Linked DNA regions of Callithrix jacchus. The protein of the gene in region 1 purifies or fractionates together with the protein of each later gene. This does not show direct contact. Links are inferred from orthologs where the notes say so. Each region holds a gene or a part of one and is shown in the gene's direction. Other genes may lie near its edges.

Region 1 (4,192 bases):
GGGACGAGAAGAAGCATTCTCTGTGCAAATAAATGGAAGCAAGAATCCTTAGGAAGCCCAAGGGATTTGTCTGCTCACCGACTTGGGCCCAGCTCCCCCAGGCTCACACATAACAGGGATGATTGTGGCAGGAAGGGCTGACCTACGGGGGTAGGCCTGACGCATAATGGGGGCTCTTGTTTCCTGGCTGAGCATGCCATCTTTCTGTCTCCCTCTGGATTGAAATGGCTTCTCAGCCCGAGAGGCACTGCCTGTGCCCTGGATTCACAAGGTACACGCCTCCCTGGGAAGCAAAGGCTGAGAGACAGCGGCTCTCTCTCTCTCTGTCTGCATCTGCCAGCAGAGCTGCAGCTGGTATTTTTCCACAGGCCTTTGCTGCGATCTCAAGGCCTAGTTTTTCCCAGCCAGGCCCTGAGTCCGAGTGAGGGTTAACAGGCAGGAAGCCGAAGGCATCCTAGGCTAATACGGAAGTCAGATTTGTGTTTAACTGACAGGTTTAGCAGGCCTCGGTCGTGGGGGAGGGGCCGGGAGGGAAGGGAAGTTTGTAGATCCAGGCATGTGGCCTGCCAGGAGGGCTTTGGGCTTTTCTTAGGGTAAGGACCGAGAGGGGCCCCCGTTGGCATCGTGGCAGGGAGGCAGGAACCCGCGTTGGTTTTGCCTGCAGGGCTGGCTGGGCAGGGTGAGAGGCCCACTGCTCTCTGGCCTGCCTTGCAAGGAGGCATGGGGACAATGACTATGCAAACTTGACCACTCTGCTCCCCTCCTCCCCTCAGCAGCGGCTCCTCGCTCCTCTGAGAAGCCAGGGATGTTCTCTGCTGATTTTTCGGGGCTCCCCGGGGCTGCCTGCTTCCCCCAGCTCCTCAGAGGCCTGCCTCAAGCCCTTTCTTCTGGCTCCCTTGGCTGTTTCCCCTGGCCTCCCCACTCCCCAGCTTCCTCTTCCCCTTGGGGAGTTACCCTGCTGGACTGTTCTAGAAAAGGGCTGGCCTTCCTCCCTGGACAAGAGCCGTTTCTCTGGGGGCAGGTGAGGGTGACCCGTCCCAGCCCACCTCAAGAAACTCTCTTCCCAGGGGCATCTGGGCCTCGGGCTTCCCTGGAGCAGGTCAGGCTGGCTGCCCTGGCTGGCCCGTGCCCGGAAATCTAGCCAGGGTGTGGGAGAAGTGCGTGTGGGGGCCCCTTTCCCAAGTTTTTCTTGCTGCAAAAGGCCTAGCTTAGCCTGTCTTTTTCTATGCACAGGATGGCTCTTGCTCACCCGAGCCTCACAAAGATAATCGCTCAGGAAGTGTTTCAGCCAATCCGGGGCGGCTTTACACTCCGATTTGCCGGGGCAGCCAATCGGGGATGAGCTTTTATTAGGCGGCCAGATCATCAGCCGAAGTGCCAAACCCTTTTTCTGTGAGAACTAGGAGCCTGTCCTCCATGTTTTATAAGTATTGACATTACACAGTGTTAACAATGCATCCACAGAGGTAAGCTCGACTTTTTAACCATCTTTTTTCCCCCTCCCTCTGAGACATCCGAATTGTGGGCGAGCAGTGTGATTTCTCTGTGGCTGGCCGTGCCACACTCACCCCCAGAGCACTTATGTTAACTTGGAACTGTTTAGAGAGAATTTTTTTTGCTTTCTTGGGTCACATGGCTCAGTAGCCATTAGCCATAGCTTGATTTTGCAAACTGGCAAGGGCCTGGCACACCTTTCCTTCCACCAGGACATGGTGTTTCTGGAAGAGTTTGAAGCTAGATCCTGGTATGCCAAAAAAGAAGCTCTTTTTTTTTTCCTTTTTTTTTCTTTCCCTCTCTTCCTCTCTCTCTCTCTCTCTCTCTCTCTCTCTCTCTCTCTCTCTCTCTGAGCAGTCCCCCCTCCCTCCCTGCACTATTGTCTTCTCTTTTGCCACATGCCCTGCTGGGGGAAGAAAATGGAAGGTAAGCAAGCAGGCTCCTCTCCAAGGAGAGCTCATGGCAGACAGCAGAGCAGGCAAGTTTGCCTCTCCAAAGAGGTTCTGGGAAGGCTGGATAAGTTTTGACAAGAGAGGAGCGTGTTTGCAAAAAGAACTGAGCCCTCAGCAGAGCAGTGCTAAGGAGAGTCTAGCTCCTGGGGCCTAGGTGGGTGGTGGTGTCTGTACACGGAGCTTCTCTTATTCTAAGAGCTTCTGCACTTGAAACTACTTTGTTCAGCCTGTTTTCTTGACTTAGGTTGCTACAGTGTTCTGCAAGCCAGCCTACAGCCAGCAAATGTTTCTGAAAGTGTTGGAGGAAGTTTTTGGAGTAGGGATGGGGATTGGGGGGTGGGGGGAGAGAGATCTTGGACAACATCCTGCAAAAAAAGAAAAGGAAAAAATCTGCAAGGTCTCTGAATCCCTTAGCTTTCCACTCTTGCATGATTTTTCAAGGAACTGATGTTACCTTTTACCCTTTTCCTTTTCCTCTCCCTTTTATACATTGTATCCTCCTCTGTTCTGTGTGATGGAGTGTAGAGGAAATAAAATCATGTCTTTGGCTCCTGACAGCATTCCATATTCAGTTGTTGGGTTGTGGTGGTGTTGTTGTGTGTTTTTAATAATACCATGTAACTGTTTAAAAAAATTTCCTTTTTGATCAAGTCCCAAATCTGCCAGCCTGTTCTCTCTTCCTAACTGTGGAAAAATGAGACGGTTGCTTGAACATTTGTTGGGTAAGTAAAGCAATCCATTTCCTCTGTGACCATGTTTGAAGAGTTTTGTGAACATTCGGGGTCTGATTGTAAGAGGGGGTCTTGGCTACAGGAGTTGGGGGCTTCATTAGCAGGAACAGAACAAGGGCCTTTTAAAGAGTGTCTTGATTTTAGGTGACTGTTTGAATCCACTGGTTTCCCTGATAACCTGCAGCTAGGATTGAAGATTACACTTCCTGTTTACCCCCAGTCAGGGAGAAATGTTCAGTTCATTGTGACTTGACTCTAGACCTTTAATGGGGTTTGTTTGGATATTCAACCTGTGAGTAGGTGATGTGCTTGTGAAATGAAACTGTTTGTGCTTAGAGGTGCAGAGACCTAAAAATACTGCAGGGGTGGGGGGGAAGGGGAGGGGGCAGAAGCTGGTGGTGGTGGTGGTGGTGGTGGTATGTGTGTTTTGGGGGGGTGGTTGTCAGTGCTCGTGTTTTAGGATTTTTATATATATAGTACAAAATCTCATCCACCACCAGTCTGTGTTTTATTCAGGACTCACTGACACACATTTCGACCTTTTTCCAGGTCTGATCTGCACATCTGTATGCATGCTGGCCTCACATAAGATTTCTCTTTTTACATTTCCCTTGCTCTCCTTGGGCTGCAGCTAGAAGTTAAGTGGAAAAAGTAGTCTTGTTTAGCATTACCTTCAGAATTTCCCTAGAAGTTCTCTATGTAAATTTTCAGCTTGGAGACCAATCCGGCATGACTGTAAATGCAGGAAATATATATTCAGTTGCTGTGTTATGTCAACTTTATGGAGTCAGTAATCTTTTTTCTTTCAAATGAGTGTCCAGTAGCCCACTTTCTGACATCAAATTGGAAAAAGGCTCATTTAATCAGGAGAAATGTACCACATTCTAAGTTGAGAAAAGTCTGTGCAAGGCAGGCCAGCTTAGCTTCTTAGAATAAAACTGCAGGCAGTTCATGATGTTATATACTTAAAACTGAGCAGTTCCACTGCCCCAAACAAGTAAGTTCAGACACTCAGCTCTTTTCTTTGTTCTTATCTCCTTGCAATATGTAAATGGAGATTACATATTGAGGTTCCTGTGGCCTCCCTAGAAGCAGTGTCTAATCATAAGACTCCTGGTTTGGTGCCTTCAACGTTTGCATAATACTGTGTTTGTTGGGCTGGAAGGGAACTTCAGGGCAAGGCATTTGTCCTCTAAAAGCTTGCATTAAAATGGCTCCCACAGGTTTGGAGAGCCAAGATCTGTTTTCAAATGTATAACCCCCAGCAAGTTCCCAACCCTGGACCAAGCTAGCCACTTTTCCTCTCGTACTGTGGCCCCCACCAAGCATGAGTCTGTAAAAAGTTAATTGCTTTCAAAGTAGCATTATTTTCCAGTTTCAGGAAGTGGTGGTGGTGGTGGGGGATAAATGTCTGCATTGCAGCATGACTAGGTAGGGACGGCAGTGCTGGCTCCCAGAGCAGCCCAATGGGGTTTCTACTCTAGCTTTTAAACCAATAGACATGGATGAAAGGTT
Region 2 (4,265 bases), on another chromosome or scaffold:
CCTCTTCCCACCCAATCACCAGCAAGCCAGCTCCTGTTCCCTGCAGCCCACAGGACGGGTCCTGGGACCCACAGCCCTCTCTTCCCGGAGACACGACCGCCCTGTAGTTCCCGGGCCTGTGCTAACCCTGGCAGGGCTTTCCTTTCTGGTCCGCTCCGCAGCCATAACGTTGTGGCCCTGCTCTCCTTGGACCCCACCTGACTCTCCTCCCAGCACATGCTGTTCCCTGCCTGCCGGGCTGGGGTCCCCATGCTCTCTCCCCGGCACCCTGACCACGTCCGTCCCACCTGCCTAGATCTTGCACCGCAGCCTCAGGGCTCCCTCCATGTCCTGCAGGGAGGCATGTCCCAGACAGACCGCAGCTCCTTCCAGCCACGCACCCACCTCCAGCATCTGAGCGGGCAGGGCCGTGACCCACGGTGCTGCTCACATCAGCAGCCTGGAGCCATGAGACACCTGCTTTTCCTCACCTCCGAAACTGAGGCTGCACCCATCTCGAAGCCATTCTGAGACCACCTGTTTCTCTCCATCTGGGAAGCCCCCTTCCCGCCTCATGCTCTTCCTGGCTGGGGCGTCTGGGTCACTGGACTCTCCTATCCTCAGACCTGCGCGAAAACACACAGGGAGGCATCCTGACAGGTGGCTGGAAGGAAGGCAGCTGCCCCACTGTGGAGAGAGTGCGGCCCTCCTGGACTCCAGCCCTGCTGGGACTGGCAGGGTCGGCAGGTGCTGGGTTCCAGCCTCAGATGGGGACTTTGGAGGTGGCCTCTGAGCACAGGCACCTCCTCTGTGGCCTTCTCACCAGGTCACAGTTCAAGGAGGCTTTGCAAGCTACGGGGCCTGCCCACAGCAGGGCACTCATGGCCACCTGTCCAGGGTGCCAGGCGGGCTGGGCGGCGAAGGCCAAGGGCACACACTCCCTAGGGTGGGGGGAAAGGTTAGGCCTGGAGGAACTTGTGGAGTGGAGACCCCGAGGCCAGGCCTGGGCCGCTGAGCTTCAGGGCCCTTGGGGGGCTCAGGGAGGAGTGCGGAGGACCCCAGCACCACGAGGAAGCCCTGGAGAGCTACGGCAGGACTCACCTGCGGGGCACCGGGACGGTCCCCAGGGAAGGGGCCCCTGTGGAGGACCCCCCTGGCCCCAGGGCAGTAGGGGAGGATCTAGCTCGGAGTGCGGCTGGAAGGGCCCACCCAGGAAGCGGCGCGCGGGGAGGACTCCGGGCCCCGGGAAGGGGCGCGCGGGCCGCGGGCGGCGCGGGGTCGGTAACGGCCCGCGCGGTGGGCGGTGGCGCCCGAGGCCCCTCCCCGCCGCCCGCGGCCGCTCCTCCTCTTCCTCTCCCGCCCGCGCCGCGGCCCTCCCGTCCCTGCGCGGCCTCGGCGGCCTCGGCGGCGGCGGCGGCGGCGGCGGCAGCAGCGCGGCCCCTTTAAACGCCCGCGGCGCCCCCCGCCCCCGCCATCGCGCCTCCATTTTCCCGGCCGCCCGCGCCGAGCGCCGCGCCCGCCCCGGGCCCCTCCGCCGCCGCCGCCGGCCCGGACATGGCCGCCAACATGTACAGGGTCGGAGGTAAGGCCGCGCCGCCTTTATGCCCGGCCCCGGCCGCCGCCCCCGCCCCTGCGCCCCGCGGCCCCGGCCCTTCCCGAGCAGCCCCCGCCGCGCTCGCCCCAACCCAAAATGGCCCCGCGGGTCGGCCCCATCGGGGGCGGGCGGGGCGCGGCGGCCGGGGTGGGGGGCGGCCCACCTGTTGGGGCGGAGGGGGCGGCCGCGGGGGCGGGGAGGGGCGCGGGCGGCGGGGCCATCGGGGGGCCGGGGCCGGGAGCCCCCAGCGGGAGCACGTGGCCTTGGGAGGCGCCGGCTGCCGGGCTGGGAGCCGGAGTTGTGGGGTGTGGGGTCTCCCCCGGCCCGCAGGCCCGTGCTGGGACCCCGGTGCATCGCCCCGGGGATGGGGAGCCCCGGCGAGGGCCCGCGCTCCTCCCCAGAGCCCTCCTGCAGCCTGGCCGCGGGGCTTCCCCCAGCAGGGCTCCCTCGGGGGTCGTCCGCGGGGAGCGAGCATCCGGAGCACGCCTCCAAGTCCCCCCAAACTTTTCCCTGCCTCCCGCTCACCTCAGCCCAGTCGGGAGGCGCTTTGCAAGGGCTGGGGAGAGGCCGGAGGGCCCCCTGGGCCGGGGCCGGGGCCGGGGACTGCCTCCCTGGGCCCAGCCTCCTGTTGCTCGGGCCCCTTGGGCCTGCAGCTTTGGGCCTTGCCCTACTTCGTGTGCCTGGGACTCCGTGGGGTCTTTCACAGGGAGGTGGGGGGTCGCGCGCATTCCATCACTCCGTCAGCGCCCCCCTCCCCGGGACTCTGAGACCCCTCCCTGCCGGTGACCCTCTCGGCAGGTGCCCATTACTTCCCCCACCTGCAGCCTGCGCTGCTGCAGGGAGCTGGGGTCACTGCCGCGCTGGCCTGGTCCCCACTGCCCTGGCCCCGAGTGCCCAGAACGCTCTGTGTCCCTCGAGCGTGGCTTCTGCTACCTTGGACGTTTGTGTGGTCCCACCGGCCAGCCCTGTGACCTTGGGGACGGTGGAAGCCCCCTACACCCGTCCGTCTGTGACATGGGTGCTCAGTCCGCATCAGCAGCTCGCGGCCCCGGGCCTCTGCAGGGGCGGTGGGCCTGTTCTCCATCCCGCGGCTGCCCCTCCCACAGCCTCACACACCTTTGCCGGGTCCGTGTGTGGACACAGGTGGGCTTGGGCCCACCCCTTGCCCAGGGATCAGCCTGGGTGCGGGGTCCCTCGTGGGAGGGGCCTGCTCCTCCTTGTTCTTTCTCCCCACCTGGATACCCCCTTCCAGCCTGACATGAGGGCCAGTTTCTCACCCTGGTACAGAGGATGCCTACTGCCTGGCTCAGCTGGGCCTACTGCGCATGGTTTTGGGATTGGTCCCAAGAAGAGCCCTTCCTGCCCCCACCCAGGATGGGGGTGGGGAGTGAAGGCGGCTTTGGACTCTAGGGCTGGGGCTACCTGGACCCCGGCTCATGCCTTCCCAGTGGCGAGTGGCTGCGTGCTTGGCCTTCAGGCCCCCCTGCCTGTCAACTTGGCACCAGCCTGGCCGCCCCCTCCACCTTCCTGTGCCTTGGTTTCCCCTTGGTGTGGGTGAGGACCTTGTGTCTCAGCCGTCCTGTGCCCAGTGGCTGAGAATGCCAGGGCCCTGCTCATCCCGTCGCTGAGCTGCAGCCCCTTTGGGTGCTGCACAGGCTTGGGAGGAGCCCTGAGTGGGGCTGCGTGACACTCTGTCCCCCGCACCCTCTGTTACCCCATGCCCACAGGCCCGTCCTGGGGCCTCACTGACCCAAGTGCACCAGTGCTGTGAGGGTGGGTGGACTGGACCCCGAAGCTGCTGCAGAAGGGCCCACTGTGCCTGGCAGAGATGCCGCTGCTCTCTTCCTGGGATGAGGAGCACGGAGGTTGGGTGCCGTCTGCTGGCAGCACAGGCAGGCGTGGGATCCGGCTGCTTCTGTGTGTGCAGTCCGTGGTCACTGTGGCCAGGGTGTACTCGGGGCTGTCAGGCCCCCCGTGTGGCTGCCCCGAGGACGTCCTCTCCCTGCTGGCAAGACTAGGGCTCCCCCTCTCTGTCCTGATCATCCTACAGGAGAAGCGGCATTTATGCCTGGCTTCTGGACGGGAATCCCGGCTTTGGTCCTGCGGTCCTGGCAGGGCCCCGTGGTGGCAGTGGGCTGGATGTTGCAGGTTGGCTTCCTGTCTTGGTGCTCACTCGGGGAGGGGGCATCTGGATTCTTGAGCCCCTAGGCAAGACAGAGGAAGGTGTGCAGTGTCTCCTGAGTGGCCTTCGTGTGTCTGTCGCCCGCTGCCTGGCATGGGCCCTGTCTGGGCGGCCAGCCCTGGCCTGTGGGAGCTGCCTGCAGGGACCCAGCCTGGGAAGGGGCTTGCTCCTGTGTGCCTGCAGGGACCTTGTGCATAGAGGCGCCACATTTAGCACAGAAAAGTACAGGACGCCCAGGCAAATTTGAGTTTCAGATAAACAGAAATTTCTTAGTGTAAGTATGTCCCAAATATGGCCTGAGACATGCTTATCCCAGAAGATTCTTATCTGACGATCATAGTTAATCTGGGCATCCCACATTTTAGCTGGCAGGCTGCTCCAAGGCCCTGCCAGGTCGGGCTCGCTAGGGGAAGGTGTGGCGGCCACAGCAGTTTTGTGCCAGCTGAGCTGGCTGAAGCAGTGAGCCGGCAGGGAACAGGGCCTGTTTCTTCCTCGCGGAGTGCCCTGGCC
Region 3 (4,233 bases), on another chromosome or scaffold:
AAATTTATCTTATAGTGCTGGAGGTTATAGGTAATAACCTCAAGGTGTTGGCATTCCTTTGGAGGCTCTAGGGTAGAATCTATTTCCTTACCTTTCAAGCTTCTAGAGGCTACTTTTATTCCTAGGATCCTGGCTCCTTCCTCCATCTTCAAAGTCAGCAACATAGCAATTTCCCTTTCCTTGCTCCCCCTCCTATTTTCCACCATTTCTTCCCTCTTTCTGTGCTTTTGTCCTTACATCTTCTCTGACTGACCCTCCTGCCTCCTTCTTAAAAGAAATATTGTAATTCCATAGGGCCCACCTGTATAATCCAGAATCATCTTCCCATCTCCAAATCTTTAACTGAATCATATCTGTGAAGTCTTCTTAGCCACATAAGACAGGCACATCTTTGAGGGCCATCAGCCTACTACCACACAAGGCAAATTAAGTGGAAAATAATGTTTGCCTCTTTTACACTTTGAGTCAACCAGCTGCATGTTGCTCTTTGCAAGTTTGTTTTCTACTTCAAGGCCACATTGGTTGTCCATTTTAATTAGCCTTTCCTCACAAAATGGTGGTATGTGGCTCCCCCAGCTGATACTTCTCTGAGGCCTTGTAACTCTCTAAGATAACACAAGTTTAACTCACAAGTTAACAAACGGGAACACTTCAACCAGAGACATTGACCTTCCTCTCTAATACTCTTAGCTGATTGCTAAAGACAGATGCCTCATTAGAGCCAAACATTCCTATCTTACTTAACTAAACATAATAAATTAAGTTTATGGGGCCGGAAATAGTTATCATTTCTTCTTTCTTGCAGTGAGGAGGCATGGAACAACATTTAGCAAATTGATCCTGGCTTAATTCCTACCGATATTATGCAGCACAAACTCTTATTTGATGGAGATTATAAATCGAGAATTAGCAATGAATAATACGCATCGCTTTAGTGGTAAGAAGCTGCTGAGTAGCTTCCCCCCACCCCCAGTAATGGTAAAGGCTAGACTTTATATTTTTATGTCACTTTTACTAAGAAGGGGAGAAACATTTTGCTATTCATCTTAGAGAAGCTTTTTGCTCCTAGTTACATGGAGTAACACGGAATAGATTTGCCTTCCTGCCTTGAAAAAAGTGAAGACCGGAAAAGCATTTGTTTTGAGACACTTAAGAGCAGGCACTGTTAGGGCTGTGATTCTACAACTGCTCTCACATGCTGGGGGCAGTCTCCAGATTCATCTCAAGGTGGGTCGTCACAGCTTCCAAACTAAGGACGATCTACATTTCTTTACGTAGGTAAAATGACTGTTGCTATGGGTAAATTCACAGAAGTAAAGCCCAGAGAATCCGGTTGGCTGGCTGGAAGAGGCGGAACCAATTCCGGGCTCAGCAAGGTCTCGCGATACCGTGAGATCTGCAGGCCTGACGACACCGCCGCAGAGACTTCCCTCAGACCCGAGGGTGGGCGGTGCGAGCGGCAGTTACCTCCGAGCGCTGCTTCTCTGAGGAAAACGGGCGTTGACCTGAGGTCGGTCCGACTGTGACCAACATGAGCGGCCTGGATGGGGTCGAGAAGACCCCTCCCGTTCAAACGCACAGCATCCCTATTTCTGACGACGTCTCGGGCGACCCGGACGCACGCCAGTGCCTGAGGCTCCGCGACAAAAGCGAGGCGACACAGGTGATGGCGGAGCTGGGTGAGGGAGGCTCGGAGACCGTCGCGCTCCCGCCCCCGCAGCCTTCAGAGGAAGGGTGCGTACCCCAGGATCCCGCGGGCCGTGGCGGTACTCCCCAGATCCGAGTTGTTGGGGGTCGCGGTCATGTAGCGATCACAGCCGGGCAGGAAGAGGGCCAGCCTCCTGCCGAGGGCCTGGCAGCCGCTTCTGTGGTGGGGGCAGCGGACCACAGCCTGAAAAAGGGCGTTCAGGATGGAGAGAAGGCCCTAGAAATCTGTGACGCCGAGAGGTCCGCGTCGGAGCTGACGGCGGGGGCGGGGACGGAGGCTGAGGAGGTGAAGAGAGGAAAGTGCGCCACTGTCTCAGCAGCCGTGGCTGAGGAGGAGAGGGCTGAGGTGGTGGTGAAGGAAGGCCTGGCGGAGGAGGAGGTAGTGGAGGAGCAGATGGAGGTAGAGGAGCAGCCGCCAGAAGGTGAAGAAGTAGAGGCGAGGGAGGAGGAAGGGCCGTGGCGTCTGCATGAGGCTCTCCGCATGGACCCTCTGGAGGCCATCCAGCAGGAACTGGACACTGTGAATGCTCAGGCCGATAGGGCCTTCCAACAACTAGAGCACAAGTTTGGGCGGATGCGTCGACACTACCTGGAGCGGAGGAACTACATCATTCAGAATATCCCGGGCTTCTGGATGACTGCTTTTCGAAACCACCCCCAGTTGTCCGCCATGATCAGGGGCCAAGATGCAGATATGTTAAGGTACATAACCAATTTAGAGGTGAAGGAACTCAGACACCCTAGAACTGGCTGCAAGTTCAAATTCTTCTTTAGAAGAAACCCCTACTTCAGAAACAAGCTGATTGTCAAGGAATATGAGGTAAGATCTTCCGGCCGAGTGGTGTCTCTTTCCACTCCAATTATATGGCGCAGGGGGCATGAACCCCAGTCCTTCATTCGCAGAAACCAAGACCTCATCTGCAGCTTCTTCACCTGGTTCTCAGACCACAGCCTTCCAGAGTCCGACAAAATTGCTGAAATTATTAAAGAGGATCTGTGGCCAAATCCACTGCAATACTACCTGTTGCGTGAAGGAGTCCGTAGAGCCAGACGCCGCCCACTAAGGGAGCCAGTTGAGATCCCCAGGCCCTTTGGGTTCCAGTCGGGTTAACGTTTGCCCTTGGGAATACTCCTGCACAAGGTCTCCTACCACCACCTGCTGGACCTGTGCTTGGGCAACAGAAATGGTATGCCTTCTACTGTGTTTTGTTTTTGCTGACTTTTCTGCACCCTCTTTCCTTTGGATATTCACTTCTCTCAACCTCAAGATTGAGACGGTGGTGGGTATGCTTCTCCACTTCCATGCTGTTCTGGAATATCACATGCTACGACGCCATCCTTCAGACTACTAAGCCAAGCAAATGATACTGTAGTTGGTACTGCCTTTATTGGTACTGCTTGGACCCTGTTAATTCCCAGGGCCTCTGAACTGGTTGCTATCACCTGGATTTCTAGCTTTGGGAGCCTATTCTATCTACTTAACACTGCATCGGGCAGTATGGGCACATGGCCTGTGGACAGTTACTGAACGTTAATGAACTCAGAGGAGAAAAGCAGTGGAGCTACTTGTTCTGTGTGATTTATGGTACTTCATTGTTCTTCCTTCACCTCTAATCACTCTGTTGCTACCTGCCCTGCTTTGGCTGCTGCCAAGGTCCCTCTCTCCCTCTTCCTTTTTGCTCCTATTTCTCTTTTTCCTTTTTTTGAGACGGAGTCTTGCTATGTCGCCCAGGTTGGATCTCCGCCTGCAACCTCCGCCTCCGGGTTCAAGCGATTCTCTTGCCTCAACCTCCCGAGTAGCTAGGACTACAGGCGCGTGCCACCATGTCCGGCTAATTTTTGTATTTTTAGTAGAGACGGAGTTTCACCATGCTGACCAGACTGGTCTCAAACTCTTGACCTAGTGATCTGCCCGCCTCAGCCTCCCAATCCTGTCTCTTTAAAAAAAAAAAAAAAAAAAAAAAGTAAAAGCTTGGAAATATTTGTAAAAGCAAACTTTAGTTTATTTTGGCTCTGTCATTTTCAGAGACAAAGAGGTTGTCCTGTAAAATACAGCTCTTATTGCTCCCCCCACGCCCCCTTTTCTCTTCCCAACTTTCTATCCCTTTTATCAACTCCTAGAATACTTAAAGGGAGACACATCTGGATGGAATGAAATGTGAGATCTAGTTTATAACGGATGGAAGAACTAAAGAGATTGTGATGGGTGCACTAAGCAGGGAAAACTGAACAAACGGCTAGAGGCATGGGCCAGGTAAAAATTGGGCCTAGAATGAAGACTGAGCTGAGGAGGAAGGAGTACTTACTCCCCAGTGGTGATGAATGGAGAAATACTTTTCTCAGGATAGTTAAAGGATAATTGAAGGGGTTAAAGTGTTAAATTGTTGCCTAGACAAGGGTTCTTTAAAGAAACACAGTGCAACCTTGAATGCTTGCTTTCTTCTTTTGTGACCGAATTTATGTGGAAGATTGTTATTTTACTAGGATTTTGTAAAATCTTATTTTTTTGGTTCTGCTTATTGTGAA
Region 4 (4,137 bases), on another chromosome or scaffold:
CAGAACACTTTTTTCATATCAATACTTTGTGATAAGGGACCATCACAAATGTCACCACCAAACAACCAAAACACAACTTCTTTTCTGGGGGCACCTCTTACCCCCGCACACACCTCAAACTCAAGTTGGCAGCACACAGCTGTGTATCACAAGACATTGCAAACAAGCCACCACACCAGTAAATCGTCTTCATGTTTATTATGCAGTGATGTCTGGGAGTACTTTGGAATGGACTGTCTTCTCTAAAGAAAGTTATTTTTGGTCGTTTGGGGGATAGCCAGTTAAGATTCAACATTTTTTTTTGTTGTTGTTTCTGTGAGAGTAGGAAGGCCGTGAAAACAGAGGTTGTTTAGAGAATTGGCCTGCGACAATAACCATTTAGAAGCTTTAGACACATAACCAGTTAAGTGTCCATCAATATCAAGCTGATTGAACAGCATCTCCTCTTCTTGGGGGTGGTGGTGATCGTGAACTGTAGGGTCCTGTTCCCCCATGGACAAAGGAAGCCCCCAATCCTAAAGGTCCCTTATCCCAGAAGAACAGGCACTGCATAAATAGGGCCTGTCTAGAGCCAGGGCCTGTATCTGGGTGTTGGAGAGTTGGTTCTGCTCAGTTGGGATGAACGATGGCGCATTTAGGGTGGCCTAGAAGGGAGTTTTTCTAGCTCTGTCCCCGGCTGGGTCTCTGGCGAGGCGGGAACTACGTGGGGTCTTCCTGGCCCCAGAACCTGCAGGTACCAGGCCGCCCCCGTGGACCTCACCAGAAGGAAGGAACCCTGCTGCTTACACTTATTTGCATCCAAGAGATTGCACTGAGACTGGCGCTTGCCTACTAGGTCAGACACACGGGGGTTCCTCAGGGACGGAAGCAGGGAAGGAGGACCTGTCTCGGGGTGGGCAGGTGATGGGATACCCTGGGTGGGGCAAGAGGCCCTGCGGAGAGGCTGAGCGCCAGCCCCGACTCCAATTCTCTAACAGCCCCTGGTCCGCATTTCAGTCCAGACTTCCGCCTCGGCCAGGACCCTGGCCCCAGGGCCCTCCACTTCCAACAAGGCACCCCACTCTCCCTCCCGCTTCCCATTCCCTCCCCCCAATTCCCGCTGGCCCCACAGCGCTCGGGCCTCCCCCGGCCCGGCCCGGCCCACTCGGCTTCGCTAGCCTGGCGCTGGGGGCGGGCACCAGCCCCCACCCCTCGGCGTCCCCTCCCCTTCACTTCCCCCTCCCCCGCCCCCTCCCTTCCCTCCCTTCCCCCCGGTGGCTAGGCAGCGGCGGCGGCGGCGGCGGCAGCGGCGGTCGAGGCTGAGGCTGAGGAGGCGGCGGCGGCAGCGGGCGGGGCTCGGCTCGGGCTCCGCGGGCGGGCGGGCGGACATGGCGGCCAACATGTACCGGGTCGGAGGTAGGCAGGCTCGGCCCGACCCGGCCCGTGTGGGAGCGGGCTCCGGGAGCGGGGGGCGGGGGCCGGGGCGAGCGCAAGCGAAGTGCCGGGAGCCAAGGGTGCGGGGGCTGAGGGCGCAGCGGACGGGGGCGCCGGGGCCCGCAGAGGGGCCGGGGCTCCCCACCCCCACCTTTTCCCTCCCCTCCCCCCACGGTGGCCTGCGAGGAGCTGGGGCCACCTTCACCCTCTCACCCCACCTCGTCTTTAGGGCCAGGCCTCTACTTGGGGGTACGAATGACCAGACGCCCCCCCCTCCACGAAACCTTCATGGGAGTAGGGCCCGTCGAGCCCCCTGAGAAGGTGGCCGTCTCCTTGCGTGGCTTCTAGGCGCTGGAGAGGATGGGGGGACATCCCCTCCCCTGTTCCTTCTCCCCTCAGTGGGAGCCTGGGGTGGGGGTGGGGGCCCAGCCAGGGGCGCAGCTGGACGGGCCTGTTAGCGGGACGGGGCCCTGCACCTCCCCTTCCTCGCCTCCCTCGTTTCGTTTCTGGTCCAGCCCCCCACAAATGGGGCTTCGTAGGGCCTGGGAACCTCTGCCGGAGGTGGGGAGTTGAGCTCTGCCTGGACGTTTGCTCTGCTGCCTGCCTCCTTCCCAGTCTTCTGCGGAAGAGAGAAATAAGGTCAAACAAACTTTCTCCCTACTCAAGACGCCCTCCTCCCTCTTTCCTGGTAAAATAATAATTCAGATAAGTGGCGTGTTTGTATGAGAGACCGGCTCTTCCTTCTCTGCTCATTAGCCGAGCTTCTGATGGATAGTAGTAGGAATCGCCTGGCTAAATGAGGCCACTTTGCAGAAGAGAGCCGCGAAAGAGCCGCTAAGATAGACAATAACAGCACAGCCCTGCCTTTCAGATAAACACACAGTGGGAAGTTTCCAGCGAGCCTATTAGATGAGACGAAAAGCCACACTTGAAAAATTTTATCCTTTTAGTTGAAAGCCTGCGGCAATTTCTTAACCACAAGACATTAAATAGATTTGGATTAAATATGGTAAAAGGCTAAAAAACATTATGGTATCACCCCCAGAGCACTTTCCCTCTTAGAAGTGATCCCCTTGGCCCCCCTGTTTTCTCATCTTTCCAGACAGAGCTGTGGAAAAGTTTGTCAGCGTTCTTCCTCTTACCTGCTCTGCTCACCTGATTTTTTTTTTTAAGTAGTGATTGAAATGTAGGTTGGACTGTGAAGCCTTTCTCCGTGCTCTGAATGTCTTAGGTCAATAGTTTTATGTGAGAAGCAGCCTCCAGGGCAAATTGGATTGGAGGAAAAAGATGTGGAAGTAGTTACAGTACAGAGGACACATGTTTAGTGTGCCCTAACTGTACAGTGATAAGAGGTGCCTTTTTTGTTTATTATTAAAGAAATGACATATTGGGACAGAAGTCTAGGAGAACCTGGTAAAACGTTAATTGAAATGAAAATGCCAAGAAAATAAAGGTCTGTGAATCGTAGGCAGATAAGAGAATATATTAAGGCTATTTGCTTTTACCAGTGAATGAATTATGAGCTTAATTTCAAATGTGAATTGCCTAACATTAAAAGTCATGGACTGACAAATCTGAGCTTTCTGTTGAAAAGATTAAATTCTGTATTTCCTTTAATTACAGATTATGTGTACTTTGAGAATTCCTCCAGCAACCCATACCTAATAAGAAGGATAGAAGAACTCAACAAGGTATACATTTAGTGTTCTTAATTTTAATATTAAAAATATTTGTTTTTCCTTGACGGATGATTGGGTAGAGGGTGGCCTGGCGAAGAGATTCTTGCCTGCAATTCCAGTACTTTGGGACGGTGGGCAGGGGGAGACCAGCCTGTGCAACATAGTGAGACCCCATCTCTATTTTTTAAAAATTAAATAAAAAATAAACTGGGTAAAGATTATAAGAGGTGGCTCTACTTTCAGTCCTAGACACTTTGAAAGTTGAGGTTTTAGGCCAGGTGCAGTGGCTCATGCCTATAATCCTAGCACTTTGGGAGGCTGAGGCAGGTGGATCACTTGAGGTCAGAAGTTCAAGACCAGTCTGGCCAACATGGTGAAACCCCTTTTCTACTAAAAAAGTACAAAAAATTAGTCAAGCATGGTGGCATGCACCTGTAATCTTAGGTAGTCAGGAGGCTGAGGCAGGAGAATCGCTTGATCCTGGGAGGTGGAGGTTGCAGTGAGCCGAGATCATGCCATTGCACTCCAGCCTGGGCAAGAGAGCAAGACTCCAAAAAAAAAAAAAGTTGAGATTTTAGAGAGTTACGCAGGATTCCGAATTCTTAATATTCTTTTGCTTTTTCTGTTACTGAATATTTAAAAGTCTGCAGATTTCTTCAAATTGCTTAGAGCCTCTGAAAGAGCAGTTTACTTCTGTAACTCAGACCCTTTTTATATTTAGAGTCATCATGGGCCAGGTGCAGTGGCTCATGCCTGTAATCTCAACACTCTAGGAGGCTGAGGCAGTCAGATCACTTGAGGGCAGGAGTTCGAGACCAGCCTGGCCGATAGGTGAAACCCCATTTCTCTTAAAATTACAAAAATTAGCCAGAGGTGGTGGTGGGCACCTGTAGTCCCAGCTACTTGGGAGGCTGAGGCAGGAGAATCACTTGAACCTGGTAGGCGGAGGTTGTAGTAGCCGACAGAGCAAGACTCTGTCTAAAAAACAAAAAAGAGTCATAATATGTATGTCTCCCTTTTTAGTGAATTAATATTTTCCTCTTCT
Region 5 (3,500 bases), on another chromosome or scaffold:
TTGGACCCTTCCTCCAGAGTGTAGGGTTTCATGTGTCCTGGCCTCAACCTTCGACAGCCTTTTGACACCCCCGTCTCCCCTGCTGTATCCCTCAGCCCTGTCGTTTTGGGGAACTCAACCCTGAGAATAGTACATCTTGCCTTCCTGACATAGAGATGGGGGGAAGGAGGGCCACCTCTGGAGCTTCAGCTCTGCCTCGGCAGCCTCCCTTGGGGAATGGCCTTTGCACCTCCCCCCGTTCTCCACCCTGCTCATGTTCCACTGCTGATTTCCTTCTTGGAGTCTACCCAGTCCTGGAGAAAAAGTGTGGGGTGCTGGGATGGGCATGGAGATGCCTCCCTCATTACCACAGGGCCTCCTGCTTCCTCCCCAGGTGCCCCAGCTGTTCAGTTGTGTTTGGGGGTGTGAACTCCATCAAGTCCCACATCCAGACGTCGCACTGCGAGGTTTTCCACAAGTGCCCCATCTGCCCTATGGCCTTCAAGTCTGGGCCCAGCGCCCACGCCCATCTCTACTCCCAGCATCCCAGCTTCCAAACGCAGCAGGCCAAGTGAGGCCTAGGGAGGGGCAGGCTGGGATGGGATGGGGAGGGCGGGTTGGGGGCAGAGGGGAGGGGCTGCACCCACCGTGGCCTGACGTTTGTGTTGTGCTCACCTTAGGCTGATCTACAAGTGCGCCATGTGTGACACAGTCTTCACTCACAAACCCCTCCTCTCCTCACACTTCGACCAGCACCTGCTGCCCCAGCGTGTCAGTGTCTTTAAGTGCCCGTCTTGTCCTCTGCTCTTTGCCCAAAAAAGGACCATGCTAGAACATCTCAAGGTACAGGAGCAGAGCAGTGGGGAATGGGTGCTTAGCTGTACTGACATGGGGCTGGGGCCACGTAAGTGGGGGGCTTTGGCACAGCCAGGGCCTTCCCCACAGCAGCCACCTCCCTTGTCTCCTCTAACAGAACACCCATCAGTCTGGGCGCTTGGAGGAGACTGCTGGGAAAGGGGCCGGGGGTGCCCTGCTGACCCCCAAGGCTGAGCCCGAGGAGCTGGCTGTTTCTCAGGGAGGGGCAGCCCCTGCTACCGAGGAGTCATCTACATCTTCTGAAGAGGAGGAAGTACCCAGCTCCCCTGAGCCCCCCCGTCCAGCCAAACGGCCCCGGCGGGAACTAGGGAGCAAAGGCCTCAAGGGTGGGGGTGGGGGGCCTGGAGGCTGGACCTGTGGCCTGTGTCACTCCTGGTTCCCTGAGCGTGACGAGTATGTGAGCCACATGAAGAAGGAGCATGGCAAGGTGAGTGGGCCTCGAGGGGAGTACCATGGGCCGGGGGTGGCACTGGGACTGCCGGTGTGACAGTGGGGACGGGGTCCTGGAGCCTGGCTCTGACATCTACCCCTGCTCTCCTAGTCAGTGAAAAAGTTTCCCTGTCGTCTGTGTGAGCGCTCCTTCTGCTCTGCCCCCAGCCTGAGGCGCCATGTCAGGGTCAATCACGAGGGCATCAAGCGAGTTTACCCCTGCAGGTAACTCCTACTCCCCACTTCCTCTTCCTGCCCAGCACATGACCCCCTGCATATGCCAGAGTACCTTCGAACCCGCAGTTGGTCTCAGTGGCCTGACCAGGTCTCCCTCTGCTCCAGCAGCCCCTCCTCAGGAGCAAGGGCCCTGGCCTTCGGGCTATGCCCCTGCTGCCATCCTGCCCTCTCCCATTTCAGGTATTGCACAGAGGGAAAACGCACCTTCAGCAGCCGCCTGATCCTGGAGAAACATGTCCAGGTCCGGCACGGCTTGCCACCTGGGGCCCAGTCCCCTGGCCGGGGGAGCACCCTGGCTCGGGGTCCCAGTGCCAGAGCCCAGGTAGGCAGGGGCCTGGCCTGTTGTGTTAGGGCTTTGAGTAGGAAACTGGAAGGTAGAATCTGTGGCCGCAGGAAGTGAGGGAGGGGTACCAGGGGCAGTGGGAGTGGTGGTGAGACCGTTTCTTCCACTTTTCTTCAGGGACCAGGTCGGAAACGCCGCCAGTCTTCTGACTCTTGCAGTGAAGAGCCTGACAGCACAACACCGCCCGCCAAGACCCCCAGGGGTGGACCTGGATCTGGAGGCCATGGCCCCCTGCGCTACCGGAGCAGTGGCTCCATGGAACAGAGCCTTCTGGTGGGGTTGAGGGTGGAGGGTGGCGCCCAGCAGTGCCTCGACTGTGGCTTGTGCTTTGCCTCCCCTGGCTCCCTGAACCGGCACCGTTTCATCAGCCACAAGAAGAGACGGGGTGTGGGTAAAGCCAGTGCCCTGGGGCTGGGGGATGGGGAGGACGAGGCCCCTCCATCAAGGTCTGACCCCGATGGTGGAGACTCACCCCTGCCAGCTTCGGGAGGCCCACTGACCTGTAAGGTCTGTGGCAAAAGCTGCGACAGCCCTCTCAACCTCAAGACCCACTTCCGCACGCATGGCATGGCGTTCATCAGGGCTCGGCAGGGGGCTGTCGGGGACAACTAGGCCCAAGCCTGGGACTTACCTCTGGGAGCCTGGCTTTCCCTGCTGCTGCCTGGTCCCTGGGCTGGGGAGTTTCATTAACATTTTTGTTAATTTCTCTCCAACCTGAAGGAAAGCTTTTGAGGATTATTCTAGTTAACTTGCAACCTCCCTTTGGGTTTGGCCCTGGAGTCCTAGTAGCGTGGACCCTCCGTTCCTCCTTTCTGAGCCTAACACTAATTATGCTCCTGCTGCAGAATCCCCAGTGCGGGCCTGGGGGTGGGAGGATGGGACTTAGGTGTGCCTGCTAGACAGGTTCGGGGAAGGATTGATGGGGGTGTCACGGAGGGACACACCCCTCCACAATTCCTTCAGGCACGGACTGGAACTTTCCTCCTCTGGGCCAGGCCCTGCCCTAGTGCCCCCTCCCTATCAATTTGCTGGCACTCAAGCCCCCCACCCCTGCAGTGCCTTTCACTTCTTTTTTTTTCCCCAGAAATCGGGGGGGGGGGGGTTGGTGGGGATGAGTCCTGTCAAGGGGGCCACAGGACAGGAGAGGACAGGCTCTCAGGAATCCTTTATTCTTATAGTAATAATACTAACTGGGGGAACTAGGGAGAAAACCAGACCATTAAACTGCTTGTGGTCTCATCTCCATTCAGGCCTCTCTCTGTGACTTGGAGACAGGAAGCGGGTGAGAGTCAGAGCATGGGAGGCCTTTCCTTCTCAGAGAAGCGGTGGTGGTGACCAAGCCAGGCAGGGAAAAGCAAGCCTCTTTCTATGTGGTACCTTCTGCATCTTGGACACTCGGGCATCCGTTCACGCCTCATCACCCATCTCCCGCCCCACTCCCCCAAAACACCTGGAAATGACACAAGTGGCTAACTAAGGACTTTATTTCAAACAAAAATTAAAAATAAAAAATTGAGAGCTCTTTTCCCTGGACTTGGGGAAGGAGTCAGGGTAGGGAATTCCCCATGGCTAGGCCAGTACCCTCAGTACACTGGAGGGCTGTGGGAATTCCCTTCCTTGTCCATGATGGGGAACC
Region 6 (4,286 bases), on another chromosome or scaffold:
CTGACTGAGGGCGGGGTGAGAGCTGAGCTCCTTCTCCCCAGGGGATGTGGCTGGAGGCTGCAAGCAGCTGAAGAATCGCTATGAGAGCCGAGACCGGGAGTGGGCTACGTACACCTGTGTGCTGGGCTTTCACGTCTACGGTGAGCAGGGGCGTGGAACCCTGCTGGAGGGGCGGGGGACAAGGTGGAGCCCAGTTTGGGCTCGAAACGCTGGGCGTGTGTCGTTGGGTGGGAGTCCAGAAACCTGAAGATCCAGCCCAGGAGGCCCCCCCCCCCCGGCCCTCGGGACCGGGAAGGCTTGCCTGGAACGCGGCAGTGGGTGGCCGTGGCTGCCGGAGCGCCTGAAATAGTGCAGCTCTGGGCCGTGGGTGGCAGTGGGGAGGAGGTCGGGCTGAGGCCGGCCGCTGTGCTAGGCGTGTGGCCGGACGGCTCCGATGGGACCGACATCAACTCCCTGTGCCGCTCCCACAATGAGCGCGTGGTGGCGGTGGCTGACGACTTCTGCAAAGTGCATCTTTTCCAGTACCCGTGTGCTCGTGCCAAGGTGAGGCCGCAGGGGCCTCCGGGGCGGGGTGGGGCGGGACAGGACGGGTGGGCCCGAGGGCTCCGCCGCCACCGCAACTCCCTTCCCTCCTGTCCAGGCGCCGAGCCGCATGTACGGTGGCCACGGCAGCCACGTGACCAGCGTCCGGTTCACGTACGACGACTCGCACCTCGTCTCGCTGGGCGGCAAGGATGCCAGCATCTTCCAGTGGCGAATGCTGGGAGCAGGGGGCGCGGGGCCAGCGCCCGCCACGCCCTCTCGAACCCCCTCCCTGTCCCCCGCCTCCTCCCTTGACGTTTGATCTCGGCCTGGCGGACCAACTGGCTGAAGGCGTGGACCCGCCCCGCCCCGCCCTAGTTCCTTTAGACCCGGGGCTGACTCCTCGACTGACTTCCAGACATTCCCGATCGCGCATTTCCCTGGAGGGCGCGAACGGCGCCCCTGCACACACTGTTTAGACCCGCTGGCTGAGCTGGGCAGCCCCAGCCTAGGCCTTGACTCCCGCTGCCTGCTGAGGGGCAATAAACGAGAACCAAAGTCGCCTCCCGGTGCTTTTGTGGGGCGCTGCTGGGGGCCTCCGGGGCCTTGTGGGGTGGGGACGAAGGAAAAGAGGCGTGCGGAAAGGGTAAGGGAGCGTAGACCATTTATGCAAATAACAGGCAAAGCCGCTTGCAAATAACCTGGTTAAGCGCGAAGGCGCGCGAGTCTTTCGGGGCGGCAGGAGAAGCTGCAGGGACCCAGCGAGTACACAGTTAAGTCCGACTTCTCTCCCGCCCTCGGAAAAATGGGGTGGGTCCGAGCTGCGACGGAAATAGCCGAGTGCCGGGCCGCTGTTGGCCGACAGGAGCCGAACCTCTTCCGGAAGTAGCCGATCTGCGGGGTCTCGCTCTACGACCTAAGCCGAACGGTGGGCCTTGTTCTCCGGATCGGCCGAAGGTGTTCCGGAAGGAGGCGAACCCCGAGGCGGGCCGGGCAAGCCTTCCCTGCGGCCGGCAGATCCCAACGACTAGTGGGACTCGGCGGGGGCGGGGGTAGCTGGAGCTTAGCTCTGGCCTGGCAGGAGCCGAGCTCGTTCCGGAAGAAGCCGAGCGGACCGGGGCCGGCCTCAGCGTCCCGGGAGTGGGGCGATATCTGCCGCGGCGACAGCGCGGGCCGGGATGAACCGCGACGGCTGAGGCAGTGGAGGTGCCGGCTGCGCGGGCCCCACTGAGACTCCCTTGAAGCTACAGCCCCACGCTCGGGGCTTTGCCTCGAGCCGAGCCCTGCCTCCGCGAGCCTTCCGGACCCCTTTGTGCGGCCGGAGGCGGCGGCGGGAACGGCCATGGCGGCCAACATGTACCGGGTGGGGGGTGAGTACCGGGCGCAGGGGTGCGGGGCCCGGGGCGGGAGATGTTGGGGTCGGGACCGGAGGGACTCCGCACCTGGTGGCGCGGGGCGCCGCGTCTGGGGCAGCGTGGACCCGAGCGCGGACCGGAACCGGAACCGGGAGACTGGGAGCGGGGAAGTGAGGGTGCGGGAACGGCGACCGCGACGCGGCAGGGTGCCGAGACTCCCGGAGAGAAGCTGCGGGCAGCCCCGACGGCACTCTCAGGGCTGCGTCGGGGGCTCCCCCGGGTACAGAGTGGGCTTTGGAAACTGGTTCAGAAGGAGCTGACCTGGTAGGGAGGCGACGCGAGGGGCTGGGGCGACGGCTTTGCCACCGCGGGGGAGCCGCCCGGAGATTTCCTCTTCCCAGGCGTTATTGTGCGCCTCGGTTCGAAAAGGTGGGGGCCCAGCGCCAGCGTGAACAATGACTTCGCCGCGACTGGGCTGCAACTCATAGCTGAGTTGTGGGGACGCAGGGGAACCCCTGCTTCTTGCCTGTTCCTTAAGGCTCACTTTTCTGTGAAGGATCCGATTTTAGAACTAGGCGTGGTGGGGATGGGGAACATCCTTATTTTCTCTTAGTCTTTCCACTTTCACATCTCAGCGCCCTCTCTACCTGGATCTTTATCTTCTTTTGGTCCACTCAGGCCAACTTTCTCTCCTACTCTCGTGCTCTGTGTCTCCCGTCTCGTCCTCTGATCTTCGTGGTTCTTCCCCCTCCCCTCCCTTACAGATTACGTCTATTTTGAGAACTCCTCTAGCAATCCTTACCTGGTTAGACGGATTGAGGAGCTCAACAAGGTGAGTGGAGCAGAATCCCTCTCCCTCCCTCCCCCAGTGGTCTCTTTCTTCTGAGGTTTCTAACTTCTGGTGGAAGAGAGGACTCTATACTAAGTATCTATTCATATTCATTCATTCATTCATTGGATGTATTCAGGAAAGGCTATTGAGAGCTTAGCAGGAACTTACTATTCTGTCTCTTGGGGGCAAAGGAAAGGGATTTGGAAGTCTGTCCTTGAATGTAAGTCTTTACTCCTATTTTCTTGGGATTTTTTATTTAGGTTCCTCTGAAACTTACTGTTATTTGTCTCTGTGCATTTCTGTACCCAGATGATCAATTTTTCACTGCTACATTTTTTTTTTCTCTCCTTAGACTGCAAATGGAAATGTGGAGGCAAAGGTTGTCTGTCTTTTCCGGCGCAGGGACATTTCTAGTAGTCTCAACAGCCTGGCTGATAGTAATGCCAGTGAGTACCTTCATCTCTTTCTTTTCCCCCTCCCCATGATCTGAGGCCTGGGCATGTCCCTGCAGGAGTTTCTCCTGGTAGCATGCCCAAGGCAGAGGTGTGAATTTAGGGGTGGGAAATACCTGGTCTGAGGAGGGAGGCCTGTTTTTACACGTTGGGGTTGGAAGCAGGGTGGAGAGATTGTGATAAGGAAAGCTATAATATGGTTTGTGTATGAGTGTAAGAGAGAGATGATAATGTTTATTTAGGGGATGAGGATGAACTTCAGAGAAGCAGAATGCTTTTCTAAAGGGGGACAGTTTGGTGTACATTAGAACAGTAGGTGGTGACTGAAGGTCAAGGTGAAGAGGAAGAGATTGTTCTGAGAGGCCCGCATAACAGGGAAGTAGGCTCATTTTGTAATCACAAGGTGGTGGGAATACCTGGAAGCTGGAAGATGGTAGGAAAGTTTTCTTGTACTTTTCATTTCTTACCTCACCCATTTCCCGGCCCCCACTCCATTTTACATCTTTCCCTTTTCATTTTGCCCTGTCTTCATTCTCTTTAAGTTCTCATCTTTTTTTTTAAAAAAAAAAAACAACACAAAGAAACATGTTTTCCTCAGCTTCTTTTTCCTTTCCTGCTTTGATTTTCTTTCTCCTTCCTTTTGTTCCACCTTTCTAAATTTTCCTTTTTCAGACTGTTCTGGGTGAGAAGGGGTTAAGAAGGATCCCGGCTTACCAAGTTCCTTGGCCCTTTAGGGTTTCCAGCCCCATCTGGCAGGGGCTGACCTTGGCCTTGTCCAATCAGAATGAGTGTTGGGGGTGTGGTCCCCCTTGCCTTAGCACAGGGTTTCCGGAGCACATAGGCCAGGGGTGGAGCCTACCGCACAACCCCCCTTCTCCCTGAGGTTGGGAACAATGCACCAATGAGCCTGGGCCTGAGGCTCTTCTGTCCCCTCCCACGTTGGTTGGCGCCTAGCCAGGTTAACCCCTTCCACAAGGTTTCAGGGCAAGCTGCAGCTCCTTGGGGAGGAAGGTGTTGCCACTAGCTTGAGAGGTCTTGTCCTTGAAAACCCCAGGAACTATTATTAGAAAATGAGGGATAGTTAGGGCCACATGTGATGTTTTAGAGCAGAATCTCCTGAAATTG
Region 7 (4,009 bases), on another chromosome or scaffold:
TTTTGTTTAGTTCTCCTTGCAGCCCTGTGAAGTGGGTGCTATTACTGATTTTATGCTGTAGAATCTGTGAAACAGAGAGGTTGAATAATTGGCCCAAGGTCACACAGCTTGTAAGCAGCAGTACTGGATAGATCTGACTCCACAGTCTGTGCTCTTAGCTTTGTCAAGGAGGAAGGCCCAGAGTTTCATCCAGAAAACAGAATGTGAAAAGGGATTGGAATCAGAGCAACCTGGACTGGGTGAAGAGGTTGTGTCGCGAAAGGATGCTGGATGAGAAAGAAAGTCAGAAGAAGGGCCTAGAATGTCAAAAGAGAGGAGTGTCCAGGGCCGCAGGCAACACTGGAAGCCAGGCCAGCTCAGCTGGCCACCCATCCCGGTGCATACCCAATCTCAGTCTGTCCCTTCAGGTCAAATTTACATTCTCCTGCTCTCCCTCCTCCTCAACAAAAACAGGAGATTTACAGACTCTCAACGTCTCTCCCCACAAGCGACTTACTAATCACAAAGGGAAAAATTGTAACTTTGCGGTGGCACAACCTGGCCGACTCCAGCTTAACCAAGTGACCAAAGTGGGTATTCAGAGGGTTCTCAGGGAAGGCTCTGGAGGGGCTTTTGGGGGAAATGTATAAGGGTTTTGTGAGGAGGACTCTGAATGAAGAGGGTGGGAAGTCTTGGGGACTGAGGAGTCTGCGGGAACAGGGAAGGGTCCAGAGGGGGAAGGAGGGGTACGTCTCGGGGGAAGGGAGAAGTATTGAGGTGGGAGAGGTTCTGAGGTTTGAGCGAGGCCCTGGAGAGAGACTTGACAGTTTGGGCGAGAAGAGGGTATGGGAGGTGTGTGGGGGTAAAAGCTGGGCAACTGCAGAGCTGGGGGCAGGGTCTCCACCGACAATCTTGAAAGGGTCGGGACTCGAAGGGGAGGGTTCTAAGGCAACGGCCAGTGGAAGTGGGGGCTCCTGTGGCGTGAGGTAAGGCCAGCCGGAGGGTGAGGCGATTTGGACAGCCCGGCCTGGGGCAGCGGGAGGGCCAAGGTGGGGGAGGGCGCGGGGGAGGGGGCGGGGCGTGCTGGGGTGGGGCCGGGGCGGGGTCGGCACCGCCCGGCGGGTCCCCCCGCGCTGCAGGGGGCGCTGTGAGCCTGGGCGGCCCCAGGCCGGGCGGCGGCCGCTCCCCGTGAGCGCGGCCCCTTTTCCGGGTTTCCTCCGCCTCCTCCTCCTCTCCTCCTTCTTCTCCGCTGCTGCCGCCGCTGCCCCTTTCCCGGCCGGTGGCTGCCGCTGCCGGTGCCGCCGCCGCCGCCTCCTGGGGGCCGCGAGCCGAGCGGAGACCGCCGCGGAGCGCGAGCGCCGCCCGCCCCGCCGCTCCGCCGGCCGCTCCAGGGCCGGGCCGGCTCGGCCGGCGCCCCCCGCGCCCCCAGCCCGCCCGCCCCCGCGGGCCCGGCCTGGCGCGGCCGCCCGCTACCGCGCTCCTCCTCCTCCTTCTCCAGAGCCCGGCGGCCAGCCGCCTCCTCCGCCCGCCGCCCCGCGCCCTCCGCCGCGCCGCCGCCGCCACCCTCTGCGCCCCGCGCCGCCCCCCGGTCCCGCCCGCCATGCCCGGCCCGGCCGCGGGCAGCAGGGCCCGGGTCTACGCCGAGGTGAACAGCCTGAGGAGCCGCGAGTACTGGGACTACGAGTCTCACGTCCCGAGCTGGGGGTAAAGCCGCCGCCGTCCCCCGCCGGGCCCGCTGACCCCTGTCTCCGCCCGGCCGCCCCCCGCGACCCGCACTCGGCCGGGGTGGTGTCTCCCGCCGATCCCTCCGCGGCCCCGCTGGAGACAGAGGTCCCGCTCTCGCACATGTCCTCGTCTTCCTCTTCCCTCCCCTTTACCCCGGTTTCGTCCCTTTCTCCCCGCTTTGCGCACCCCTTTCCCCCAAGGAATGATTTTTTTACTCGGAGAGAAGTGTGGGGTGCACGGATCGGCGCTGGGTGGAAGTGAGGGAGCAGCCCTTCTCACACTTTTGGGTTTCCACTAGGGTGGGAAGTCAACAGCTGTCCTCTGGAGCTATTAAAATTCTCTGCCTTTTCGGTTTTCTGAGATGAGGTAGTGGGAGGAAATTTCTTAAAGACGTCCACATTTTTAAAACAGGGATTGTCTACCTTCAGGGTGTGAAACGGGAAGCAGGTGCTGTGAAGCCGCGGGGCAGAGGGGGCACCCTCTAGGCCTTCAGGACGGGTGCTTTGTTCGCCCCTCTGGATTGGCTCAGAGCGTTGCCTTTCTACCCCATCTTCCCAAGTTAGGAGAGACCAGTTAGGTTAGGAGCTCTGCAGAGTGAAGGGAGCCAAGATTACGTCGTGGCTTTCATTTAGGGAATGAGTTGTGACGTGATGTGTAGACACTTCCAAGTGTTTGCCTGGCGGAAGCGGCTGGATGACGTGTATAGTGGGCATAGGCTTGGCTAACCCCCAGTCCTGGCATTTATGTGTGTCTGTCTCTTACCTTTTACAGTAATCAAGATGATTACCAACTGGTTCGAAAACTTGGTCGGGGAAAATATAGTGAAGTATTTGAGGCCATTAACATCACCAACAATGAGAGAGTGGTTGTAAAAATCCTCAAGGTGAGTGTCCTATGAGTGATAAATAACATTTGTTCCCCCACAGGGCAAAAGGATGTAAGCTACCCCAGTCACATTCTAGAATGGGCAGTGCAAGCTTGAATTTAATTACTTATTTAGAGTCAGAGTCTCACTCTGTAACCCAGGCTGGAGTGCAGATTATGGTTCACTGCAGCCTTCAACTCCTGGGCTCAAGTGATCCTCCCTTCTCAGCCTCCCAAGTAGCTGGGACTACAGGTGCATGCCATCATGCCCAGCTATTTAAAAAAATTTTTTTGTACAGACAGGGTCTGGTCATGTTGCCCAGGCTGGTCTTAAACTCCTGAGCTCAAGCAGTCCTCCAGAACGACTCCTTGCAGGCTTCCCAAAGTTGCTGGGGTTACAAGCATGAGCCACTGTGCCCAGCCCACACTCAAATTTTACTTCTCTGATGACCCTTCATTACTTCTTTTTCCACCCCATTTTCCTGTGAACTTTCAAGGAAATGTGCAGACTGGTCACAAATCTAAGCCCAACTCTTAAGTTCAGGAAGGTGTTCTAAAATGTAAATTATAGGTGCCTAAAGCAGAAATTCCAAAAGGGCTCCATTTGTTAGAAAATAAATAGGTATTCAAAAGACCAAAAAGCCATTCTCAATTTCAGGTCTCCTTGAGCACTGTTTGTTACTCTTGGTGCGTGATCTACCTTATTCCATAAAGAAAGCTGGACAAAACTGGAGTGACTTCAGAGATGTATTGCGAGCCCAAGTTGAAGGAAATTCCTTAGTGGATAATCACTTGTTTTTTCTTCTTTGGCAGTAAAGTTTCAGGTGGCGTGGATATAGTGCACTAGTAGGGCTGAGAAGCCTTGTTAGAAAGCCAGAGAGCCTTTGTTGCTTATCAGCTAGTAAAAATATAGAATTCACTTATGATTTCTAAAGTAATCACTGGAACAAAACTCTTAACATATGGTTTAGCGATCTCAGTTTGATAATGCTGTGCTTTTGTTATCTCTTTGATGAAGATGATTTTAATGAGCATGAAGGGTCGGCTAAATTTTCCTTCAGGTAAAAGATTAATTGTGTAGCTTTAATAATGTTTTATAGGGTGTGGTAAAAAGTAATTGGTAGAATCTTTGATGGGTCCTCATTATTGCCAGATTATTTCATGTGGGCACGTGTCATTCAGTGAGAGATTGAGAAGATGGAAGAGTAATGTAAGCACTTTTGTATACATGTGATTTCCAGTGTGGCCCTTTTGCAGAGGTTCTGTGGACTAAGAATGTGGTATTGAAAAGCTGTTTCTGTGTGTTAGGGCAGCTGTATAGGTAATCCCTGTTTAATGTGAGGGGTCAATGTTAGCTTTCTGGTAATCACCTTTCAGAAAAATGATCAACTCCATCACTCAATACATCCTAGCCTAGTGATGAAGGAGCAGAATTGCAAGA

Evidence for each region.
Region 2: the proteins of ZMYND8 (region 1) and MTA1 purify together in Homo sapiens (affinity purification with mass spectrometry; 3 studies listed by BioGRID and IntAct, with this or other methods). This does not show direct contact. The link is inferred for Callithrix jacchus from reciprocal best matches to the Homo sapiens genes ZMYND8 and MTA1.
Region 3: the proteins of ZMYND8 (region 1) and TSPYL1 purify together in Homo sapiens (affinity purification with mass spectrometry; 4 studies listed by BioGRID and IntAct, counting the BioPlex papers as one, with this or other methods). This does not show direct contact. The link is inferred for Callithrix jacchus from reciprocal best matches to the Homo sapiens genes ZMYND8 and TSPYL1.
Region 4: the proteins of ZMYND8 (region 1) and MTA3 purify together in Homo sapiens (affinity purification with mass spectrometry, with the first as the bait; 3 studies listed by BioGRID). This does not show direct contact. The link is inferred for Callithrix jacchus from reciprocal best matches to the Homo sapiens genes ZMYND8 and MTA3.
Region 5: the proteins of ZMYND8 (region 1) and ZNF687 purify together in Homo sapiens (affinity purification with mass spectrometry; 4 studies listed by BioGRID and IntAct, with this or other methods). This does not show direct contact. The link is inferred for Callithrix jacchus from reciprocal best matches to the Homo sapiens genes ZMYND8 and ZNF687.
Region 6: the proteins of ZMYND8 (region 1) and MTA2 purify together in Homo sapiens (affinity purification with mass spectrometry; 3 studies listed by BioGRID and IntAct, with this or other methods). This does not show direct contact. The link is inferred for Callithrix jacchus from reciprocal best matches to the Homo sapiens genes ZMYND8 and MTA2.
Region 7: the proteins of ZMYND8 (region 1) and CSNK2A2 purify together in Homo sapiens (affinity purification with mass spectrometry; 6 studies listed by BioGRID and IntAct, counting the BioPlex papers as one, with this or other methods). This does not show direct contact. The link is inferred for Callithrix jacchus from reciprocal best matches to the Homo sapiens genes ZMYND8 and CSNK2A2.

What each region holds. Positions count from the first base shown.
Region 1 is NC_133506.1:42,544,432-42,548,623, reverse strand, and holds the start of ZMYND8 (MYND-type zinc finger-containing chromatin reader ZMYND8), read left to right. Parts: upstream 1-1,392; 5' UTR 1,393-1,452; coding exon 1,453-1,466; intron 1,467-2,642; exon of another isoform or gene 2,643-2,668; intron 2,669-4,192. UniProt on the Homo sapiens protein: Chromatin reader that recognizes dual histone modifications such as histone H3.1 dimethylated at 'Lys-36' and histone H4 acetylated at 'Lys-16' (H3.1K36me2-H4K16ac) and histone H3 methylated at 'Lys-4' and histone H4 acetylated at 'Lys-14' (H3K4me1-H3K14ac).
Region 2 is NC_133509.1:140,274,664-140,278,928, forward strand, and holds the start of MTA1 (metastasis-associated protein MTA1), read left to right. Parts: upstream 1-1,465; 5' UTR 1,466-1,533; coding exon 1,534-1,561; intron 1,562-4,265. Other genes in the region: uncharacterized protein LOC128928889, read right to left, coding at 471-605, 1,081-1,465. UniProt on the Homo sapiens protein: Transcriptional coregulator which can act as both a transcriptional corepressor and coactivator. Acts as a component of the histone deacetylase NuRD complex which participates in the remodeling of chromatin.
Region 3 is NC_133505.1:122,618,785-122,623,017, reverse strand, and holds the start of TSPYL1 (testis-specific Y-encoded-like protein 1), read left to right. Parts: upstream 1-1,433; 5' UTR 1,434-1,531; coding exon 1,532-2,818; 3' UTR 2,819-4,233.
Region 4 is NC_133515.1:72,273,362-72,277,498, reverse strand, and holds the start of MTA3 (metastasis-associated protein MTA3), read left to right. Parts: upstream 1-1,337; 5' UTR 1,338-1,367; coding exon 1,368-1,395; intron 1,396-3,036; coding exon 3,037-3,104; intron 3,105-4,137. UniProt on the Homo sapiens protein: Acts as a component of the histone deacetylase NuRD complex which participates in the remodeling of chromatin.
Region 5 is NC_133519.1:11,187,414-11,190,913, forward strand, and holds the end of ZNF687 (zinc finger protein 687), read left to right. Parts: intron 1-373; coding exon 374-550; intron 551-659; coding exon 660-822; intron 823-952; coding exon 953-1,282; intron 1,283-1,396; coding exon 1,397-1,509; intron 1,510-1,701; coding exon 1,702-1,843; intron 1,844-1,981; coding exon 1,982-2,476; 3' UTR 2,477-3,109; downstream 3,110-3,500. UniProt on the Homo sapiens protein: May be involved in transcriptional regulation.
Region 6 is NC_133511.1:119,871,046-119,875,331, reverse strand, and holds the start of MTA2 (metastasis-associated protein MTA2), read left to right. Parts: upstream 1-1,486; 5' UTR 1,487-1,864; coding exon 1,865-1,892; intron 1,893-2,641; coding exon 2,642-2,709; intron 2,710-3,061; coding exon 3,062-3,155; intron 3,156-4,286. Other genes in the region: EML3 (echinoderm microtubule-associated protein-like 3), read left to right, coding at 42-140, 413-543, 641-844. UniProt on the Homo sapiens protein: May function as a transcriptional coregulator. Acts as a component of the histone deacetylase NuRD complex which participates in the remodeling of chromatin.
Region 7 is NC_133521.1:16,079,386-16,083,394, reverse strand, and holds the start of CSNK2A2 (casein kinase II subunit alpha'), read left to right. Parts: upstream 1-1,209; 5' UTR 1,210-1,579; coding exon 1,580-1,683; intron 1,684-2,126; exon of another isoform or gene 2,127-2,300; intron 2,301-2,475; coding exon 2,476-2,587; intron 2,588-4,009.